Caenorhabditis elegans: one gene and its partner. The protein of the gene in region 1 interacts with the protein of each later gene in a pairwise test. Each region holds a gene or a part of one and is shown on either strand. Other genes may lie near its edges. The genes, in order: rep-1 and rab-5.

Region 1 (8,176 bases):
AGCTCGGGCCAAGTTGTGCAGAATAGTTGGCGGCACTGGAAAAAATGGATATATAGCAGGTGTTTAAAATTCAGAAAAATCGATAAAAATTGAATTCAAAAAAATTTTCGAAAAAAAAAATTTTCTGAAAAATTTTTCAAAAAAATTTTTTTTTTTTAATTTTTATATTTTTTCGAAATTTTTTTTTCTAATTTGAATTTCTAATTCAATTTCAGCTCAAAAATCCAATTTTCATCGTTCTTTCGCCCTAACCTCCTCCACCACACTAGCATAGTGTAAATTCGCATCAACTGGCGGCGCGACGACGACATTTTCGGCTCCGGCGGTGTCGAATTTCATGGAATTCGCGGTGAAGCTCATCTTCCAGTAGGGTTCCACTTCTGAAATGCAGAAAAAATATCGATTTTTCTAGGAAAAATCGAAAAACTCAAAAATATTAAAGAAAAACCGGGTTCCAAGCCAATTTTCGCGAATTTTAAGTGAAAAATTCGAAATCTCCGCCCTGAAAAACCTAAATACTCCCACGGGGACTCGAACCCCGGACCTTTTGCTCCGAAGTCAAGCCTGTTAGCCACTGCGCCACCGGTGCGCCGAACCAGCGGCGCGTGATGCAACGCGTGGCGCAGTGGCTAAGCGGCTCGCCTTTGGAGCAAAAGGTCCGGGGTTCGATTCTCCGTGGGGGTGTATAGGTTTTTTATAGCGGAGAATTCGAATTTTTCACTTAAAATTGGGGAAAATTCACTTGGAAATAATTTTTCTCAAAATTTCACTGAATCCTTGCTGAGATTTCAACTCTTGGAGTCTCTATTTTAGAACTTTGAAGCTTAACATATATTAATAGTTCAAAAAAATGGATTTTGTATCATTTTCGAGCGAAAATTTCAGGAAACTAGGTTGTAACTCAATTTTTGCGAATTTTAAGTTAAAAATTCGAAATGTTCGCTATGAAAAACCTATACACCACTGCGGGGACTCGAACCCCGGGACCATTTGCTCCGAAGTCAAGCCTGTTAGCCACTGCGCCACGGGGTGCAACATGCATCACTGGTTAGCTGCAACGCGTGGCGCAGTGGCTAAGCGGCTCGCCTTTGGAGCAAAAGGTCCAGGGTTCGATTCCCCGTGGGGATATATAGGTTTTTTATAGCGGAGAATTCGAATTTTTCACCTAAAATTAGGGAAAATTCACTTGGAAATGACTTTTCCATGAAAGTTTCTCAAATTTTAAGCGAAAAATAGGTTTTCGGTAGTGGAAATTCAAAATTTCCCCCTAAAAATTCCGCGAAAATCACCATTTTTTTCAAAAATCTTCTCTGCAATAGTCTTGACACTTGTTTCTCCTTCTTGGGTACCCGTTGCATGCACCAGAACTGCAAAAAAAAAATCTTTATTTTTCTAGGAAAAAACGTGGGGGCTTACAGTGTCCTTTCGGAGCCGTACAGGCTTCAAAGCCCACTTCAACAAGCCGTGAGACTGCGGCGTCGGGCCGGAGAGATGCCAGATTGAGGAGGGTTAGCTGAAAATTTTTTCGGATTTTTAATACGAAATTCGAAATCCCCGCAAAATTTCACTCTAGAATTATTTTTTCCCAGGCTTCTAGCTCAATTTTGAAATTTTCGGGGTTACTGTAGCGCCAAAAGTACGCGATGCCCCCGTGGTGTTTGCGTACCTGACACCGAATTTTACGAAATTGAACCCAAATTGGCTTAAATTTCAGTTACGGGGTAAATTGGCAACGGGGAATTCGAATTTTGCATTGAAAATCAACTAGGAGCACTGGTTTCTCGAGTAAAATTAAATTTTTCTCGAAAACCAGTTGACCAAGGTGGTTTTCAATGCGAAATTCGAATTTCCCGTTGCCAATTCACCCCGGAACATGATTTTCAGCCAATTTAAGCTCAATTTCGTAAAATTCGGTCTCAGGTACGCAAGCACCGAGGTCAACGTACTTTTGGCGCTACAGTAACCCCAAAAATTGTAACATTGAGCTAGAAGCCCGGGGAAATTGAATTCTAGAGTGGAATTTTGCGGGAAAATCGAATTTCCTGGTGGAAAACTCCAAAAAATGCTCCGGAACCTGTTCTTTCTCGGCTTCTTTAATCGATTTATCCGTCGCATAGACGATTCTCTCGATTTTCAGCGTACTACTAGCTGGAACAGTTTCGGGGACAAATCTCGGGGACATCACGATGTAGCGACAATTTACACGATCTCCATTGGCAATTACAGCCGTAATTCTGGAAATTTTTGAGAAAATTGGTTTTCCGACAAATTGAAAATTTGGGCATAGCTTCCGCATCTCCGAGTGACAAATGTGCTCTATTGTCAAATTGTTGGCAGAAATACGGTATTTATTCACATTTTCAGCACAATTTAAGGCTGAAAATGTGAATAAAAACAGTTTTTATGCCATCAATCTGGGTAGAAACACATGAGTCACGGAATATTGTATAAAACTAGTTTTGCTGGGAATTTGACTTGAAAATTAGGTCAAATTTCGCAGAAACTATTGATTTTTCGCTTATTCTCTTCACTAACTTTCCATCTTTTTTCACGATAGCCTGTACAGGCCGTCCCAGACAATATAAGCTCCCAAAGACTGCTGCCAGCCGGCAAAAGCACTGTGAGAGCTCTCCACATCCGTAGAGTGGGAAGAGGAATGGCGATGGACCGAAATGGCCGACAGAATCCATGAACTGGCATGATGCCAACATTCCCTGGAATTTGGAAAAATTTTAAATTTTGAAAAAAATTTTTTTTTTTTTTTGAAAATTTGTTTTTCTCAAAATTTTTTTCAATTTCAAATTTGACATGAAAATCAACTCGAAATTCGAATTCTCCACATCACCAGCTTCCAAATGACACCCATCATGCCCATGATCCATCGATTTTGAAAATTTTGGGTCCCGCCACGAGGGGTACTGTAGCACCGGTTTCAGCTGTGTCGGAGCGCAAACTGCACGGAAAATGGGCATGATGGGGGTCATTGTAAAGCTGAAAGCGTTAGAGATTTGAATTTTTCAAAAATTTTTAGCAAAATAGACAAAATCAACATTTTTTCGAAAAAAAAAATAATTTTTTGCTCAAATTTTTTTCAATTATAAATTTCTTTTCAAATCGACTCAAAACTCGAATCCTCCACATCATCATCTTTCTAAAGACCCCCATACTGCCCGGGTTCCGATGATTTTGAAAATTCGGGTCTCGCCACGCGGGGTACTGTAGCACCGGTTTCAGCTGTGTCGAGACTGCCAAAACTCAAAATCAACGGACCCCGGGCATGTTGGGGGTCATTTTGAAGCTGAGAGTGGCGAGAATTCAAATTTTTCAATAATATTTTGAAAAAAATTGAAGTAAATTTCGTGCAAAAAAAAAAATTTTGGATTTTTTTTTCATTTTCAATTTTTTTAGAAATTCAGATTTTTTTCTAAAAAACAGTAATTTCCGCATATTCACCGTCATCGCAGTGGGTCTTTGCTGTAAAATGCCGATCGTATTAATAATAAAGCTCTGCAGGGTCTTTCCAACGCCCATTTGCTCCAAAAACTCTGAAAACGGGCGGTCGGCGTGCTCGGCGAGCAGTTTTCTGCCTTCTTCCGTGTCTTTTGTGCTCCATTGTGTGCAGAATGTGATGAATTTCATAAGAGCTCGCTTTTCCAGGATTCTGGAAGAATTTTTGGAGATTTATCATTGCGAATCGATTTTTTTGGCAAAGAAAATCGATATTTTATCGATTTTCAGCCTAAAAAAATCCCTTACGACAAAGCATTGCTCTGAAAAATCTCTCCTTTGCTACATGGCACCGGATTTAGGGTAATTCCGGCTTCTGGGGTCTCTGTTGGGCATAGCTGCCGGTTGACAAGCTTAAACTCGGCATAATGGGATACTTGGGAGTCACAGAGTGTTTGAACCTGAAAAAATTCAAAAAATTGGAAGAAAATCGTTTTTTTTTTCCAAATTTTTTTCAAGATTTTCAAAATTTTCCCATAAATTTTTGTCAAACTTTTCAATATCTGAAAATAATGCGGAAATTCGAATTTTTCGACGCTCTCAGCTTTCGAATGACCCCCAACATGCCCCGGCTCCGTTGATTTTGACTTTTGGAAGTTTTGACACAGCTGAAGCCGGTGCTACAGTAACCCGCGTGGCGAGACCCAAAAAAATCAAATTGCATGGAACCAGGGCATGATGGGGGTCATTTTGAAGCTGGTGATGTGAAGATCTCGGAAAAAATGTTAATTTTTGAATATTCTGAAAATTGACAATTTTTTGGAAAATATTTTTCAATTTTTTTAAATTTTCGATATTTCAGAAAACTAGCAAATAATTCGAATTCTCCACTTTATCAGCTTTCAAATGACCCCCAACATGTCCGTGGTCCGTTGATTTTGAATTTTGGCAGTCTCGACACAGCTGAAATCGATGCTACAGTAACCCGCGTGGCGAGACCCAAAATTTTCAAAGCGGTCGGAACCTGGGCATGTTGGGTGTCATTAGACAGCTGGTGGCGTAGAGAATTCGAATTTCAGAGTTTTAAATGAGGAAATTGAATTTTTAGAAAAATTTTTCTTTTTTTTCAGAAAAAAAGTTTCAAAAAAAATTTTTTTTTTGGCAAAAATTGATTTTTTGATGACTATTAGGGCAAAACATCAAGTTCTCCAATTTAGGTGTAATTTTGCAATTTTGTACCATTGCTCCCTTGGAAAGTAGAATTTTCGGCACTAAATCGATGGAAAATCGCCGCATTTGTGAAGCCTCTTCCAGTTGCGTTTTCATCGGCTTTTCCTCGTCTTTTCCACGTGGAATCCACGTCATTTCAATGTTTTCCACGATTTCTCGATTGCCGAGCTCAATGAGCTGCTCATTTTCAGTCAAAAGCTCTGATAACTTGGAAATCTCCGAGGAATCCAGCTTTTTTACCTGAAAATTCGGAAATTTTGGGGTTTTTCTGGCTGAAAATCAATAAAAACCTGATTTTCAGTCACTTCATGAACCATCGACATTGTGAATGATGACCAATCACCGCCGTAGTACTCATTTCTGCAAAAATATTTTTTATTTCGAATTTTTCAAGAAATCGAGTATGAAATTCGAATTCCAGACGTTATCAGCTTTCAAATGACCCCCAACACGCCTAGGTTCCGTGCATTTTGACAACCGACACAGCTGAAATCGGTGCTACAGTAACCCGCGTGGCGGGACCCAAAATTCTCAAAGTAGGCGGAATATGGGCATGATGGGGGTCATTTGAAAGCTGGTAACGTGAAGATTTCAGAAAGAATTCTGATTTTTTAAATTTCTGAAAATTGAAAAATGTTTTGGCAAATATATATTTTTTTTTCTTAAAATTTGTTTAATTTTCGATATTTCCGAAAACGAACAATTAATCTGATTTCTCAACGTTATTAGCTTTCAAATGAGCCCCAACACGCCTAGGTTCGGTGTATTTTGACAATCGACACAGCTGAAATCGGTGCTACAGTAACCCGTGACGGGACCCAAAAAAATCAAAATCAATGGAATATGGACATGGTGGGGGGTTATTTTAAAGCTAGTGACGTGGAGAACTCGAATATGATATCAGTTGGCTGACATTTTTCGAAAATTGGAAACTTTTGACGTTTTCCGAAAAATTTTCCACAAACTTGGTCAGAAAATTTTTACTTTCTGATTTTTCCCGAAAATTAATGTGATATTTGAATTCATCAGGTTCTCAGCTTCAAAATGACCCCCATCATGCCCAGAATCCGTTTATTTTGGGTCCCGCCGCGAAAAACTACAGTAACCCGAGGAGTTTTCGTGGCGGGACCCGAAAACTTCAAAACCAGCGGAATATAGGCAATTTGGGGATCAAATTGAAGCTGGCGACGTGGAGAATTCGAATTTTGCTGTATTTTTGAGGAAAAGTTATGATTAAAAAAAAAATTTAGCCGAAAATAATTTTTTTTTCGCAAAAATTTTTTTTTTTTCAATTTCATTCATTCATTTTTTTAAACTTTTTTTAAATGTTAGTTCGCCTATTACCTATCTAAATGAAGCACAGATAAGCCAGCTCGAGCACAAGCTGAAGCCAGAATGGCTTCAGGTAGTCCGGTGCCCAGCACCACTACGTCCACTGATTCTGGCAACTTTTCGTCCATTTTTTAGAGCTGGAAAAGCTGGAAATAGTTTGAATTTTTGGAAAATAAGAGATGTCATGCTTAAATTTGAAAAATTGAAAAAAACCAAAAAAAAAAAAAATTTTTTTGAAAATTTTCCAAAAAAAATTTTTTTTTCTATTAAAATATTTGATTTACGGCTGAAAACCTTTAAAAATTAACTAAAAAAAGTGGAAAAAACACGAAAAATCTTCATTTTCACACACACACACAAAACTTAACAAAAATGGCACGGGACGGGGGGAAGAGTTATAATATTTTTTTCAAATTTTCTGAATTTTTGCACAAAAAATAAACTTTAAAGGAAATGCTACACGTTGTGTCATTAAAATGTTAAAATTTACAACAAAAAATAAGGGGAATCTAGCAACAAAATAAATCAATTGTTTGGGAAAAAAATTGCGAAATTTCCAAAAAAAAAATTTTCTCAAAAAAATCAATAAAAATCCAGAAATTACATCCTTTCGTAGAGTCGATGAGGTTTGACACGTTCGTAGAATAGCATATAACTTTGACAGGCTGCCACGTGGGAGTACGGTACACGGGTTACCTGAAAAATTATACAAGTTTTCGGGGGAAAAATGAAAATTTGGGCATAGCTTCCGCATCTCCGAGTGACAAATGTGCTCTATTGTCAAATTGTTGGCAGAAATACGGTATTTATTCACATTTTCGGCCAATTTAAGACTGAAACTGTGAATAAATACAGTTTTTATGCCACCAATACGAGTAGAAGCACATGGGTCACGAGAAAATGTTTAGGAAGGGAATATTTAGGAAATTCTGTGAATTTTAATAATATGTCGTTTTTGTGACAAAGGCTCTTCGTTGACTGGAAATTCAAATTTTCTGAGAAAAATAAATTCGAGAAAATTCTGGAATGTTCCAAAACTTTCTAGAGAAATCGGGAAAATTCTGAAGTGTTCAATTTCGTGGAAAATTTCAGGAACCTGCAAATTTCTAGAACCTTTCGGAAAGTTCAAAAAAAAAAACTTCTTCAAGTTTTGATACTCCTAGAATATTCTGAAGTTTCAATAATTTGAAAAAAAAAGATCAAAATTGTTATAATTTCCAGAAACGCTCGCCAAAAACTCTCGGAAAGGACCGGAAAAAAGTTTTATATGATTTGAAAAACGTTTTTTTTTAGTTGTAAACACTCAGCTATATAATATTTATGTTGCTCGAAAACTTCCGGAAAACAGAAAAAAAACGTTCCATCTACAGAGAAAGGCTTAGAAATTTTAGAATTTGATTTCAATTTTGAGTACGCCAGTCGGAGCACGCGCTTCAGCGCGTTCGAACGGCTGGTATATATATATTAGGTCTCCAAATAAGTTCCGGGTCAAAAATCATAACTTTGTTCGCTGCGTATCGATTTTTATGAAACTTTGGGAATTTACGTTATCAACCATGATCTTTCACTTGACAATAGTCACGAAAGTTTTTGACCACCCCAAGTGTCCTAACGCGGAGCCAATTTTTTCAGGCATTTTTCTGATCTCGCTTCTTTTCAGTTTTCAATTGAGCTTTGTGTGCGGATTTTGCTTTGTTTAGATTATTAGAAAACAACAGAAGTTTGGAAAAAAATCCGCCCAAAAAAAAATTTTTTTGGTTGGTCGTCAAAAAATGTTCAAAATAATTTTTGTCGAAAATTCTAGATTTTTCCTACAAAAATGATGTAACCAAGTGTAAACTATTTTTCGACATACAAAACATATCAACTTAGTTCGATACACTAAAATGATAGTAGAAAATACAATTTTTTCGGATAATTTTTTAGTTTTTTGAATATTTCTTGAGATTCAAATTTTTAACTCAAATGATTTATATGTGTAAAAATAGTTTACACTTGGTTACATCATTTTTGTAGGAAAAATCAAGAATTTTCGACAAAAAAAAATTTTTTGGGCGGATTTTTTTCCAAACTTTTGTTGTTTTCTAATAATGTATTCTAAACAAAGCAAAATCCGCACACAAAGCTCAATTGAAAACTGAAAAGAACCGAGATCAGAAAAATGCCT
Region 2 (4,462 bases), on another chromosome or scaffold:
TTCATCTGATGGTATTGCAATTGGACGGGCACGTCGACGTGTTGCAGCTGAAAATTAAAAATTCAAAGTTCCTACTAGAAAGTTTGATTTAAAAAGCTAAAATTGATGACAAAAATTACAGAACTATTTTCTTTGTGTTTTTTCACTACAGGCACGGTACCCGGTCTCGACACGACAAATTATTGTTAAATATAAAAAGGTGCGCGCCTTTAAAGAGTACTGTAGTTTCAAATAATTTTCCATACTTTTTCATTGCTTTTCGAAAAAAAAATCAGATACATATTTAAAAAATGAATGTAAAAATTTAAAAAAATTAAAAAATCTCAGATGATTTTGTATATTTTAAAGTAAATTTATTTAATTTTTAAATTTAACTTTCTTTTGAATTCAATTGATTTGAAAAGCATTTACTTTTTGTGGGCGTTGGTTCTGCTCGAAGAGGCGGTCTACTTGTTCCAGGTTGATCGGACATTTGTATTCTTCAAATAATTCTCACCTTGTTGTTTTTCAGAAAATTGAATTCAATATCTAATATCGATCGTATACGAAGGGTTTTGTGTTACCAAGTATATACATTTTCGAACTTCAATTTATTCGGATAGATTCTGAAAGGATGCTATAAAATTTTGAAAAAAAATTGACAAAAAGGTGGTGAAACTTTGACGAGAAAAGTACTAACAGTGGGATGGTGGGGTTCGGGACTTGGATGTTGATGGTGAGAAGCAATAAATAATTGGAACATTTGAATGAAAAAATGGGAGTTTTCGCATATAAAAAGCAAATGGGCAGAGCCAATTGTGCAAGCTCATTCACTGGCTGAACATTAGTCAGAAATATACAAAAAATGAGAAAATATGGGTTAAAAGAGTGAAAATAAATAAAGAAAGCGAGCACAAAAAACTTGTTCAAAAGTGTTTTTTTTTCGAGGGGAAAACAATGACGACGATCACAGGCGTTGGATTCAAAAGATATATAGAACAAAAGAGGAGCGGAGCTAGAAGGGTTGATGGTACATGAAAAAGTCGTCAATTTATTTACAGCATGAACCCTTTTGTTGCTGTTGTGGTTGGTTCATATCGACAGTTCCCGTTGGTTCACCCTGTGCTGGTCCGATTGGCAACTTTTTAGCTATTGCCATGAAAATATCGTTCACGTTCATTGAGGTCTGTAATTAAATAAATAGAGAATTGATTTTAAATTGGAAATCTTAAATTTCTCATTCATTTTTTAATGGAGATTAGTTCAAAAACTATCTTCGCAGAAAACAAAGTTTATTGTTATTTTTAATAACAATTTTAGTTTTTGATCTATTTCAGTACTCTGTTAACATGTTTTTATTGTCAAAATCCAAATTTTCTAATGTACCTTCGCAGATGTCTCCATGAACAAGAGAGCATTGTCCTCAGCATAAGCATTAGCTTCTTCATACTCAACAGTTCGCTTATTGGCAACATCAGCCTTGTTTCCAGCCAATGCCATCACAATATTTGGAGATGCCTGTCGCTGCAGTTCTTTTACCCAATTTTTCGCTTTTTGGAAAGATTCTTGATTGGTAATATCGTAGACAACAATAGCCGCTTGAGCTCCTCGATAGTACATTGGTGCCAATGAATGATATCTTTCTTGTCCTGCAGTATCCCAGATTTCGAATTTAATTGTTGCATCGTCAAGGCACACCTGAAATTTCGAAAATTCAATTCTTAATTATTAACGTTTTTACGTCTTTCAATATAAAATCCGTGTTTTTCGAGCAAAAATCTCCGCAATTATATTATTAAAAAACAATATATTATTAAAATTCGAGATTTTTCATTTTAGTCAAAATTTTTGTTCAAATTAGGGAAAATTGTTATATTTTCACAAAAAATTCAAAAACTCACAGTTTGAGTGAGGAACGCAGCACCTATAGTCGACTCCTGATACTCGTGAAATTGTCCCTTGACGAATCGCAATACGAGAGATGATTTGCCTGAAATGATAGTTTTCTGTGATGTTTAGGTGAAATAAGAGAGCATATACGTCATATGCTAGCAACTATCAGATGACCCATAATTCTAAACATATAAACAATCAAAAGACGAAGAATTAAACTTCGAAATCAACGCAATTTCGAAATTTTGTGACGGTTTTCAGCAACTGCGAAATATGCTACAGACAGAACGGAGTAGAATAAAAAAATCTTTATTTTTTGGAAAACTGTTCTTGTTTGCTTTTATTTTCTACTCCAACCTTTAGCGGTTTTTTCCATTTTCAGTATCAACTCACCTACAGCACTTTCTCCGAGAAGAACGAGTTTGAACTGGCACGTTCTGTTTGGACCTCCAGGCCGGGCGGTTCCTGCGTTTCGGGCGGCCATTTTCTAAATACAAATTTGTTGAATTTATTACATTAAAAATCGATCGAATAAATTACAAGCAAAAAATAAGCATAATTTCACATAGGAAACGATATGAGGGAGGATTCAGCTGAAAAAATATCAAAATGGTTTCAAAGAGAAATAATGTTGCATTTTTCTTTCCAGAAAGAACAAAAAAAATAATGTTCGACTAAAATTCTATATCTCAATTCTCATTGATAAAACAATTTTGAATCCCTGAAATTTCTAGAAAAATTTCTAAAAATCCTTGTACTTAAAAAGTGGAAAAATTGATTTGAAATGAGCAATTTCCGAAAAAGATTGAAGGCACGCGAGAGACTGAAGAGTGGTAAACAAGCGTATTATTGATTCATACGGGTGTCTCACGAGGAACGAAATTGTGATGAAATCGATAAAGAAATACGGGTTTTGATCACTATTTTCATCAATTCAGTTTGCTTATCTCTGCATATTATTCATCACGTGTAATTTGATTAATTGATAAACTTTTTTCTCAAGTTTTGATGAAGTTTGAGATTAAAATTAGTTTTCTGGAAGCATCCAAAAGTAGTGAACGAATTAAATTGCAGGATATATGAAAATCAATAAAACTAAAAAAAAGAAATATTTGCGCAACAGACATCGATGACACACACGGGCTTCGTCGGGGGTAGCCAATTTGGCTGCGTACCTTCTGGGGTGGTGACGGGCGCAGTTGACTGAGTATTCAATGTTTGTGTGACATCGCAGACAGTTAGACAAAAATGGATGAAAACGGGAGGAGGCTTTTCGGTGCGCGCGCTTTCGAATTTATATTTTTTCGCGCTAGGCCAATTTTACATTTTTGATGAAAATTATTTTTCATTTCGAAAAACTTTTATTTTCCGGTAATTTTTGGCTAAATTTAAAAAAAACGCGCAAAATTAAGCGGAAAAAGTGTGAAATAATAGAGACCCGAAGAACTCGGGGGATGTCCAACTGGGGGGATTACCAACTCGGGGATTGGCCCCGCCTACAGAACCGTGGCTTGCAATACGCCTATTTCTGCAACTGCCGCACGGTTTTAAAACTGTATTTTTCTCAATAGAGCGAGAAATAACAAGAAAAAATAATTTTAAAACCGTGCGGCAGTTGCAGAAATGGGCGTATTGCAAGCCACGGTTCTGTGGGCGGGGCCAATCCCCCGAGTTGGTAATCCCCCCAATTGGACATCCCCCGAGTTCTTCGGGTCTCAAATAATATTCAAGAAAATTCAAAAGAGACTACTGTAGCTGAGTCGTTGCGAGACAACTTTTTTTGTTTGAGCCATGTCCCTTTAAGAGTAAACTGTATTAGAATGTTTTCACATTAAAATTCTCATTTTAAATTTGTTTCATGCTTAATTTTAATATTTCCCAATCATAAAAATTTGTCGATTTTGTGAATAAAAGGTTCAATAAATAAGAAATTTCCTAAACGTATCCTGATTTTCCACCTGACTTGCATTTTTTGACACACTTTTAAAAAAAATTTTTCGTTTCTGATCACTCTCGATATTTTTCATATTTTTTCAAAAACGTTTCGTTCTAAATAGCTCAGAAGAAAACAAAATATTTTTCAGTTTCAATAAATATTGTGATAAAACGATGAAACGAGTCGCTCTTCTTGCCGTCGGGTCGTTCAATCCACCAACAATTGCACATTTACGTATGCTTGAGGTAATCAAATAAAAAAAACATTAAATGTATGATATATGAATTTTCAGGTCGCCAGGTCACATCTCGAAACGATTAATACACAAGTTGTTGAAGGAATAATGAGTCCCGTTGCTGATTCATACAACAATAAACCAACGCTTATAAAATCTAATTTTCGGTAGAAAAAGTTTTTAAGACTTGATAAAAAATGTTCTAATTCAGCATTCAAATGGTTCGAGCCGCCACAAAAAGTTCTGATTGGATACGAGCCGATGACTGGGAATGTACTCGAACCACGTGGACAAGGACAATTGATGTTCTTAGACATCATAGAGAACTTGTTCAGGTTCGCCCTTTTTTTTCTGAAAACTTAAAAAACCGAAAGGGAATTAAAATTGGGAAGTTTCACACACCAAAAAATCGCGAAAAT

The links.
Region 2: the proteins of rep-1 (region 1) and rab-5 interact in a two-hybrid assay, tested with the Caenorhabditis elegans proteins (one study listed by BioGRID).

Annotation. Positions count from the first base shown.
Region 1 is NC_003281.10:1,568,285-1,576,460, reverse strand, and holds the start of rep-1 (Rab proteins geranylgeranyltransferase component A 1), read right to left. Parts: upstream 6,156-8,176; 5' UTR 6,138-6,155; coding exon 6,022-6,137; intron 5,038-6,021; coding exon 4,968-5,037; intron 4,918-4,967; coding exon 4,687-4,917; intron 3,909-4,686; coding exon 3,757-3,908; intron 3,662-3,756; coding exon 3,454-3,661; intron 2,715-3,453; coding exon 2,536-2,714; intron 2,235-2,535; coding exon 2,075-2,234; intron 1,514-2,074; coding exon 1,417-1,513; intron 1,368-1,416; coding exon 1,290-1,367; intron 1,129-1,289; exon of another isoform or gene 1,056-1,128; intron 1,032-1,055; exon of another isoform or gene 959-1,031; intron 687-958; exon of another isoform or gene 611-686; intron 590-610; exon of another isoform or gene 517-589; intron 381-516; coding exon 253-380; intron 36-252; coding exon 1-35. Other genes in the region: Y67D2.2 (Ubiquitin carboxyl-terminal hydrolase), read right to left, coding at 6,610-6,705. UniProt on the Caenorhabditis elegans protein: Substrate-binding subunit of the Rab geranylgeranyltransferase (GGTase) complex. Binds unprenylated Rab proteins and presents the substrate peptide to the catalytic component B and remains bound to it after the geranylgeranyl transfer reaction.
Region 2 is NC_003279.8:9,306,339-9,310,800, reverse strand, and holds rab-5 (small monomeric GTPase), read right to left. Parts: upstream 2,360-4,462; 5' UTR 2,357-2,359; coding exon 2,266-2,356; intron 1,970-2,265; coding exon 1,881-1,969; intron 1,678-1,880; coding exon 1,366-1,677; intron 1,166-1,365; coding exon 1,031-1,165; 3' UTR 580-1,030; downstream 1-579. Other genes in the region: uev-3 (Ubiquitin-conjugating enzyme E2 variant 3), read right to left, coding at 1-47, 412-472; nmat-2 (Nicotinamide/nicotinic acid mononucleotide adenylyltransferase 2), read left to right, coding at 3,982-4,053, 4,101-4,210, 4,255-4,378.